Linked DNA regions of Caenorhabditis elegans. Changing the gene in region 2 together with the main gene of any one other region gives a genetic interaction. Each region holds a gene or a part of one and is shown on either strand. Other genes may lie near its edges.

The links.
Region 1: of fath-1 (region 2) and daf-12, changing one suppresses a phenotype caused by changing the other (phenotypic suppression), as found in Caenorhabditis elegans (one study listed by BioGRID).

Annotation. Positions count from the first base shown.
Region 1 is NC_003284.9:10,642,389-10,647,508, reverse strand, and holds the start of daf-12 (Nuclear hormone receptor family member daf-12), read right to left. Parts: upstream 3,070-5,120; coding exon 2,959-3,069; intron 1,672-2,958; coding exon 1,612-1,671; intron 1-1,611. UniProt on the Caenorhabditis elegans protein: Nuclear receptor which binds directly to response elements in target gene promoters. Activity is modulated by binding of steroid hormone ligands that include dafachronic acids.
Region 2 is NC_003279.8:10,175,529-10,179,501, reverse strand, and holds fath-1 (Fatty acid 2-hydroxylase), read right to left. Parts: upstream 2,322-3,973; 5' UTR 2,314-2,321; coding exon 2,212-2,313; intron 2,160-2,211; coding exon 2,025-2,159; intron 1,977-2,024; coding exon 1,873-1,976; intron 1,826-1,872; coding exon 1,439-1,825; intron 1,391-1,438; coding exon 1,233-1,390; intron 993-1,232; coding exon 928-992; 3' UTR 587-927; downstream 1-586. Other genes in the region: C25A1.16 (uncharacterized protein), read right to left, coding at 1-135, 184-264; nola-3 (Putative H/ACA ribonucleoprotein complex subunit 3), read right to left, coding at 266-460.

The DNA of each region.
Region 1 (5,120 bases), on a different chromosome or scaffold from region 2:
TAGTGATACACTGAAAACAAACAAAAAAAAAAAGATAATCAAAAAATAAAGGAGATGAGTGTAAGGAGATCATGTGGTGGTGCTCACTGATTCTCGTGAGCACTAATTGAATAATTTTGAAAAAGCGTGACTGACATTTTACAACTACATGTCCAAACTTGTGGGAATTGCAAACTAAAAGAACACTTGAACGTTTGAACATTTAAGATTGAGAAAAAGTGTTACAATAATGAGTCAAAAACGGTTACTTGTTCTGGATTGTTCAAGGCAATTTGAATAATCTTCACGTTTACTCACCCGTAATGCTGCAAGCATTTTGTCGAATGACATGAATTTCGAAAGTGCCGCCACATTTGCTTCGAGTGTCATTTTTTGATTTTTGTGTTCGGAATGAAGTATAGACGTCCGGAAGTATATAGTAGAATGGTATCATCAGCACTTCATTGTTGTTTTCGGAATAATTGAGAAAGTAGGTGTTGTGAGAGGCGTGGTCCCAAGTTTTTGCGGTAATATGGAACACACACACTTAAAAAAATCGGGGCCGAACGACGACACAACAGGCAGCAGTAGCAAAAACTTCAGTGCGTCCTGTGTATATGTACGGTGCGTGTGTTTCACCGTTTGACCTTGGAACGGCCCAAAAAGGAAGCGAATTTAATTGTAAGTAAGAAGTAAGTGTGAGCACTTATGCTTATCGCTTTATCAAAACACCGGCGCTGATTACCGTAGTTTGGCGTTCCGAACAGGTTGTGGATAGGTTGATTGTTTGAAGATGAAAATTGAGATATTGAAGATGACGATGATGACACTGGACTTTAAACTTTGATCGTTGTTGGCAAGAATACAGCTTCTTTGTTTCAGACCTAGTTGGTCCGAATAATTTCAACTAGAGCTCACTATGAGTTCATTTATTTCAGGTATCGTAAAAGCTGAACGACTTTTCCAGAATTTTTCCTTTCGAATTTTTCCAGTACAGGTTTCATTGAAAAAGCGTTTAGATGTAGAAGTAAAAGTCCACCATTATCTTGAGCGCATTTTGTATCTTCAACACATGAAATTTCTCTCATCATTTTCTCGAATGTTGAGAGCACATCACACTCAAGAACATCAGTTCTTCTTTCCTCTCCACTCACTTCTAAACAATTCCCCGTCAGCAAAATGGCGTGAGTTTAACGCTGCACAAAACATACGCCGAACTTCGAAAAAGAGATGAAGACTAATTGATGAGAAACAATCAATAAGAAGAAGGATCGGATCAGAATGGAACTTTTTGAACTTATAATAGAAGCTTATTACAAATTTCTAAAACTGAATTAAAGTTTGATAACTAAATGTCCTTTAGAGTGTTATTATATTCATTTGTTAACACCATGTTTTCTGAATACACACAAAAATATAGAGCATTAAATTCAATGAACTGAAAATATATGTAGCTCCAATAATTCAAATCCAATAAGATTCTTGATTGAAGAAAAGAAAATCGTTTAGCAATTTAAAGTTATAGAATACTACCGCCAACCACAAAAACAACAAAAAGTTTCATCTTGGTGCAATGGTTGAGTCAAGTCATAATAATCTAACCTGATTGAAAAAACATAATAACAAACTAACGTCGTCATCGCTGTTTGGAGGTGTCAAGCAGTTATTCTTGCTGTGTATCCGCCTGTGGCGCTGAAATAAAAAAAATTATTTAAATATTATTTATGATATTTTTAATTACACTTGCTGGGCTTGACGATTTATCATCGTCGTCAATCTTTTCAACATCAATTACACTTGCTGAACCCGGAGTTTTTGACGTTTGAATAGGAGTTTCGTAAGAAACAGCAGAAAAGTAATATGGAGTTGGATAGAATGGAAGTTTGTGGAAATTGTGGAAAGAGTTACTATACATGGCACTGTGAGAGTATAGATGGCGATTGTATGTGTTGTTGCAATGATCTGTTTTGCCTACTTCATCTCGGCGCCCCGTTAAGATAGCCGTCGATTTCGGCGCTGGGAGGGTCGAACAGTTTTCAACTCCCCCAAATTGCACTTTTGATGTAGAAATTCAGAGAGAATAAATGTTGCTGCTAACAAGTGGTGGGAGGGTACGGTTACACAAAAGATAGAAAACGCACGAAAAGAGATGATAAGAATATGACTCCTTTTTGTTCTCAGAAAATATTGGCCACTCTAACGCTTATCGCTACAAATCGAACATTTAGACACAGACCGCCGAAGATGACATGTCAACGTTCTAAAATCAGTGCTGTTCTTTGAGAAAGAAGCAGACATATTTATGTGTTACTTATAACAGTTAAACGTTTAAGCTCTACGAATACTTTAGAAAGTAAGATTTTATTTCCGACACATTTTTGAGTGGAAAAGGGGAAATAGCTGCAGAGAGGACATTGTTTCATAATGCCGATTGTACCAGAATGGTCGAATTTTTCAGTTTTCAAACCAAATATGAAATTGAGAACATTTTGAAAATTGTTCTACCATGATATGCCGTTACTACATATTTTGTGTTTTTTTACTGACACCAGTAGATAGGCTTGAAGTGGCTTTGTAAGTTAAGACTAAATAAAATTGATGAGTATCAACTCTAAGAAAATTTCAATACCATTTGTTCGAAACTTCTACAAAATAACTGAGGTTTAAACATAAATGTTAACACATTCTTGTGAAAATGATGCAATATATTTTGCAAAAAAGGTCATTTCTACAAGACTATTCTGCATCTATTCCCACAAGCTTTTATTGATACTTTGGTCTTCTGTTTAGCTGATGAGAAAAAAATTATAAATACGGTTTCAACTTTAAGTTTGTTATAAATAACTTGTAAATATCCAATTTGTTCACCTTTTTGCCGATTTATACTAATTTTCACATTTTTGATTGCTTTACACAGTTTGTACTGGCTCTTCTCGGTATACAATTTTTTAAAGCCGTGAGATTTTAGAAATCACTTACCCTGCGGGTTACTCGTTTCCTTCTCACGACGGGCTCCTCTACCTTATCTGGGTTTTCATTTGTTTCGATTTCCATTGACTGTTCCGCAATGACTCCTCCATTTGTGCCCATTTAATTGGCGCCCGTTGCGCCGAAATGTGCGCTGAAAAATTTTCATTATGTTTTTGTAAAGCAAGTAAAGCAAGATTTTGAGCAACATGGAATAGCAAGGAATAAGTTTCCAAAGTACACACTGGTGATCAACAGCCACAAAAGAAAAGATCGGAAGAGACACAAGAACGGGGACGGGAGGTCGTTATTTGTGAATACTTTGTCATTTTTCTGCTGTGATTTTTTTTTTTGCGTGGAACAGTCGAAAAAAAAAAATTTTGCTACTGCTAATTTTAAACATATCTACTGATTGCGAGCAAAGTTTTGTAAAATTGAAACATCTCGATTAGGCAAAACAGATCTCGTCAAAACTTTCTCTATAAAATAAGTTTTTCTTTTTGATTAGATATTATATACAGTTATAACTTGTAACGAAAAATTGGGAAAAAAATGTTTTTTGATGAATGAAGCTCGGTAAAGTTATCTACATCGAAAGTTGTTCTTGACGACCAGCAAAAAAAAAACAAACAAACCAGATAACTGGGTTAACTGGTGCGTGGATATCTACAATTTAAACTGAAATAAAAGTACATTTTCATTATCATGTTTTCATCCGCTTGGTTGATGAGTAGAACTAAGATTTAGTCTCAAGTAGACTCTGCTGTTCATACTATTTCTGCCTTTTTGCTGGCACGCATAAATTGATAAATTATGTATTTATCTCTAAAAATTTAATTGAAAATCTGTCACTTCTGATTATAGTGTGTTTGTTTCATCAAATCCTAATGCTTAGCACCAAAAATCTGATTCGTTTCATTTTGACGTGAAAAATTGCTAAATTGGAAAGATGAGAAGCTGGAGAGGAAGGCATTTGAAATTTGGATTTGAGATGGCATATGGGGAGGGAAAAAGCGGAACAATTGTAAAAAATGTCGTGGTCTCATTCACTCAACACATGAAACTGCACCTACTGAGAAGAATATGCATTTCTGGTGAAATATTGAAATAAAACAGCACGGAACGAACAAAAAAAGGTTTTAGAGAATGTAAGAAATTGAAAAATAAGTTGTGGTGCACTCAATTCTGAGTCAAAAACAAAAAGATTGAGTTAATTTTCAGATAGAAATTTGATATTCGGCCAAGAAAATTGATGAAATTAAAATAAAATCGAGTTGCGGCATTTGAAGAACTTTCAATGTTTTCAAAATGTATTTTGATGCAGAATAATGTTGCAAAATGGAACAATCACGAAAGTGAAATAAAAAATCTAAAAATTTATCTCAAAAGTATTAAAAAAGTTTTAAAAAATATTTTTGACTAACTTAGGGAAAAAAATTAATTATTTTTGAATAAGTTTAATACAAAATGTAAAATTAAACTTAATAAAAATTACATCTCCTATTCAACTGATTAATGGAAAAAGGAAAGTACTGAAATACTAAATAAAATTAAATTGAAAAAACCATTTTTAGAAAATGTTTTCATTTTGAATCCAACTTTAAAAAAATATCAGTTACATTTAAGATCACTTATCAGACAAATAAAATTATTTTCAAAAAAAATAATTTGAGGAACCAAAAAATGAAATACGATTAGCAATGTGCCTAAAGGTCATTTCAGATAAAACTAGACGCAACATCCAGGGAAAAAAAGAAAAAGCAAAATCCAAGAGGCGCCGGGCAAAGAGGGACCGCGGATGCCCACGCAAGAAAATGAGACGCAGAAATGGTGGAAAAAATGTGGGAAGGCGAAACGAGCATTAGGGTGGGTATGTTGCAAGAAAAAATTTTTAAAATACGCAATAGGGTGCACTTTAGAAAGAGTAATGGTCATTAATAGTTCAAACAAAACAAAACATTGAAAATAAAGAGGATAATTAATTAAAATAAGTTCTAAACGGGCAATAAAAACCAAAGGATCAGACTGTCGCGGATAGGGAAACTAAGTAAAAAAGATAGGAAGAGTGAGAGAAACGAAACGAAAAACGAGAACCACTGCACTGCGAACATTTATTGAGCACTGAATAAACAGTGCAGCGTTCGGTTCTCCGATTGCGACTTGACTGCACAACA
Region 2 (3,973 bases):
TTGTGGAGTTAAAAAGCGACCTTGCATAGTTTGCTCATCGACAGTCCAAAGGAACATATCGTTGAGAGTATAACCAAAAGCTTTCCATCCAACGAAGAAAAGAACAAAAGAGACGATGATACGACGACGAGACACCTGAAATTATAAAATATCGTTTGGAAAAATGCGAGATTTGTAAATTACCTGTTGATAATTGATAGGTTTATTGGGGGTGAAAGAGCGGATTTTTTGCCGCAACATGCGGCGCCACTCCCAAACCAGCATTTTAGCAAACGGTCTTTGCCTTCTGGGTTGGCAAGAGTCCGAAGCGCTTCTTGATGATGATGCGATATTTGGAGTTCTTGTCTTCCGGCGAAAAGCGAGCTGGATGAGCGGTAAGAGTTTGCTCTCCAGATGGAGCAGTTCTCTTCAAAGTGTACACTCTTTGTTGGTTCTCGTCCAAGAAGTATCTCAAGAACATTGTCCGTTGAAAGTAGACTGAGTTCTGAAACTATCAATGATTTCTAAAACTTCTGAAACTATAGAGAAATATGAAATAAATACGGCGCATTGCAACGAAAAAAAGAATTAGCGAGAAAGAATGAAGGGGTGATTTCATTAGATATTTTTAAAAATTATTCCAAATTTCACGCATAACAGAAAGAAAACAAAACAAGAAGGAATATCACAAAATGTTTGATGGAAACCGGTAAGAAGTGAGGATAATAGGCACGTGCTGAGTAGCTGATCTATATAGATAAAATGTGAAAACAAGTTGAACTAATCTGGCGTACGAGAAAAGAAAAGGTAAATCGATAAATATATATGTACAACGGGTATAGTGGATCGTGAGAAAAGTGAATCGGGACAAGAGACTTAGAGATAAAAAACGTGAGGCAGAGTTCACTCAATAAACAACAAATTTTCCGAAAAAACATCTATGTATTATTATAATGGGCCCATTCCGAGTGTGTGGAAAACATAATCCCAAAGAGAAGTCGAAATTCCGAAGCCTGAAAAATGAAAATAGGCCTGAAATAGGGAAAATGATAGAAAAATTTCGATTGCGAAAATGAAAGTGCAAACGCGCTCCATCGCAAATCTGTGTAATTTTCCGTCAGAGAACATTATATTTCACGACAATTTGCAGATTATAGAAAATCTCAATTAAAAAACAGTTTTTAATGTTCTTGACTTAAAAATAACAAATTAAAAATTGATTTTTAAACAAAATCCCGTTAAATGTAACTTACCGACGTCAAAGTTTTTGAAGTGGTGATTATGATGATATACTTTTCTAAAATGTAAATTGCTGCGTGGACGAGGACTTCCGTGATGTAAATAATAGTGTACCATATCGTAGGTTACATATCCAAATAACTTTCCAGCGCCAAACGCGCAAAACACTGGCCTAAAACGATTAACTGAATATGGGAACCAGGAAAGGTTTAATACTGACCATTGGAAGGTATTGGAGTAGATTAAATAGAAAATTCCAACAATCAAAGTAGCTGGAACCGGAGGGAACACAAGGCGGTCTCCGTCCATCGGTGTTTTATGGTGAAGTCCATGAGCCAAGAAATGAAGAAGAATCTGATTCGGCGAATCTGGAGACGGCTTCCAATGGAAAACCCATCGATGAAGACTGTATTCAGTGAGAGTCCATGTCAAAACTCCAATGACGAACCAGGCAGACCACAGGAGAATCGAGTTATAAACATCGGTGGATGTTGAAAATGAGAGCACTGAGAGGATAGAAAAAGTAATGACGATCGGCATCCAAACAGCAGGGACCACCCACCAAGCTGTTCTTGTCATGCTTTCCAACACATCCGAATCGAAAAGTCTGAAAAAAAGTGAAAATTTGCATTGAAAAGTCGAGATCATCAATACCTTAAAGTTCCATCATATGGTTGATGAATCCAATGCCAATATTCAGAGCCAAGAGATCCAACTTTGAAAAGCATTCCGGATTTAGACTCAATCAATGGATCACCCTAGAATTTTAGAAATATTAATAATTAGATTTGATGGAAGGAACGAACTTTTTGAATTGCATTCACATTATATCTCTCGAGCATATTATAAGCGGCTTCCGAGTGCTCATGACGTACACCCATTATCCTTTTTTCTCCTCTGATAAATTCTCCAATTTCTTCTCCAGCCAAACGATTCAGAACCTATAAAAAGTTTGAGATTAGTAAAATATCCTAAAACTTGAAAAAAAGTTACCTTGGCACCTCCCGGATGTTTAGGCGCAAAATCAGCAATGTCATAATATTGCCCGTCGAGTTGTACTAGCAACGGCTTCTTCTCATCTGCTCCTATCCCCATATTTTCCACTGAAATATAGAAAATTATAAATTACGAAACGTTATAAATATAGAAAATATGAAACGGGGAAAGCAATATGATCATGATCTCATAGTAGAAAAATAAGTAGCAAAAGGAAATGAGCACATTCACCAGAAAACGTCATTTTCCGGTCAAGAAAAGCAGCCATATGAATTGAGGTTAGGGTATATTATGGGGACGCAGAAAAAATACCTATTCAAATTGAAGTGCAAAGCGCGCCGCCTCCGGGCCATGGGTCTCGGTAGGAAGTTGGCGGCAGAACTCATTAATTCAGACGTTTTTCAATTAGTTTCATATTAAAAAATTTTTGTTATGTTTTAAGTTGATTTTAAAGATTTCTTGTTTAAGAAATTAATGTTGTTTCATTTGACTAAAAATTCATGTCAGAATTTCAGCATCAAAATCTTTAAAAACAACATAATAAAAAAACGAAAAACACTATTAAAACGTTTCGATTGAAGGTTTTTCCGTCAAATACCTAACGAGACCCATGGTTTGGGGGCGGAGCGTATCATGTTTCTGCGTCCTCATAATATCACGAGTGAAGGAGCTGTTCGAATCAAAAAAGGTATAACGAGATTGCAGAATGGATTGTTTTTCAGTATTCACCTGCTTCAGAAAAGTGATGATTGATAGCTGGAAATACTTGAAAACAACTGAAAATAGAATAAAAATCTCTGCTACATTGCTATATTGAATAATTTCTCTCTCTCTCTGAGTCGGAGCAGGAAATGCACGTAGGTTCTCATTTAATTAGGTAAATCAACACCGAAAGAAAAGGGAAGCAAGTAGACGAAACGGGAAAACATAGTATTACATGAATTCTGCAAGGGATTCAGAGCACATACATATAATAGCATAGGAGAGAGCCGACACAAGAGAGGTGGGTGGTGGAGCAGGAGATGAAGGTGAAGGGTTTCTGAGCAAATTTGAAACATGTGCATTGGACATCAAATGTGTAATTTTGATATGTTGCACTTGGTCTTTGTGTTGGCCTGAGTCTAGTTAAAAACATTGGAACAATTGAGACATATCTGCCTCAAGTAATCATAGTTTCTGAGCTTCGAAATTTCTCGGTTTAATATAATTTAATTTAGAAATCTTGCAGCAGTTAAAATACGAGTTAAAATATATGAAAACACAAGTTTTGGAACTACCACAACTACGATTATATAGAAGACTGAAGAGTTTTCTGGCAAACAAACTGTCATTTTCCCACGATTTTCCTAGTTTTTCTAGACACAAATCGGGCACAATTGTGCCCGTTGGTACGAATACTTAATGAAAAATGTGCCATCTCAAATAAACCGAGCCTTTATAAATATATATTTGCAAATTGTGTGAGCCTTTTCCTATTTAAGCGGAGATGGCAGACGCTGAGGATGAAATATTCAAAAATTGTCCAGGATGTCATTCTGGAGCATTTAAATATTTTTGTAATTTTTAAGGATGTTAGTGTGGAATCTGAAGAGTTAATCTATATGGAAGGTGATGGAAGTTTGATTTAAAGTATCATAGCACCCGGGTTAAAAGAGTAGAGATTGAAAGAGCAAACTAGAGCAAGTGACCTAATTGAATTGAATTCAACGAGATAAAATGTGCGGAATGAGAGTGCGAGCCTATGTATGTGCACGGGCTC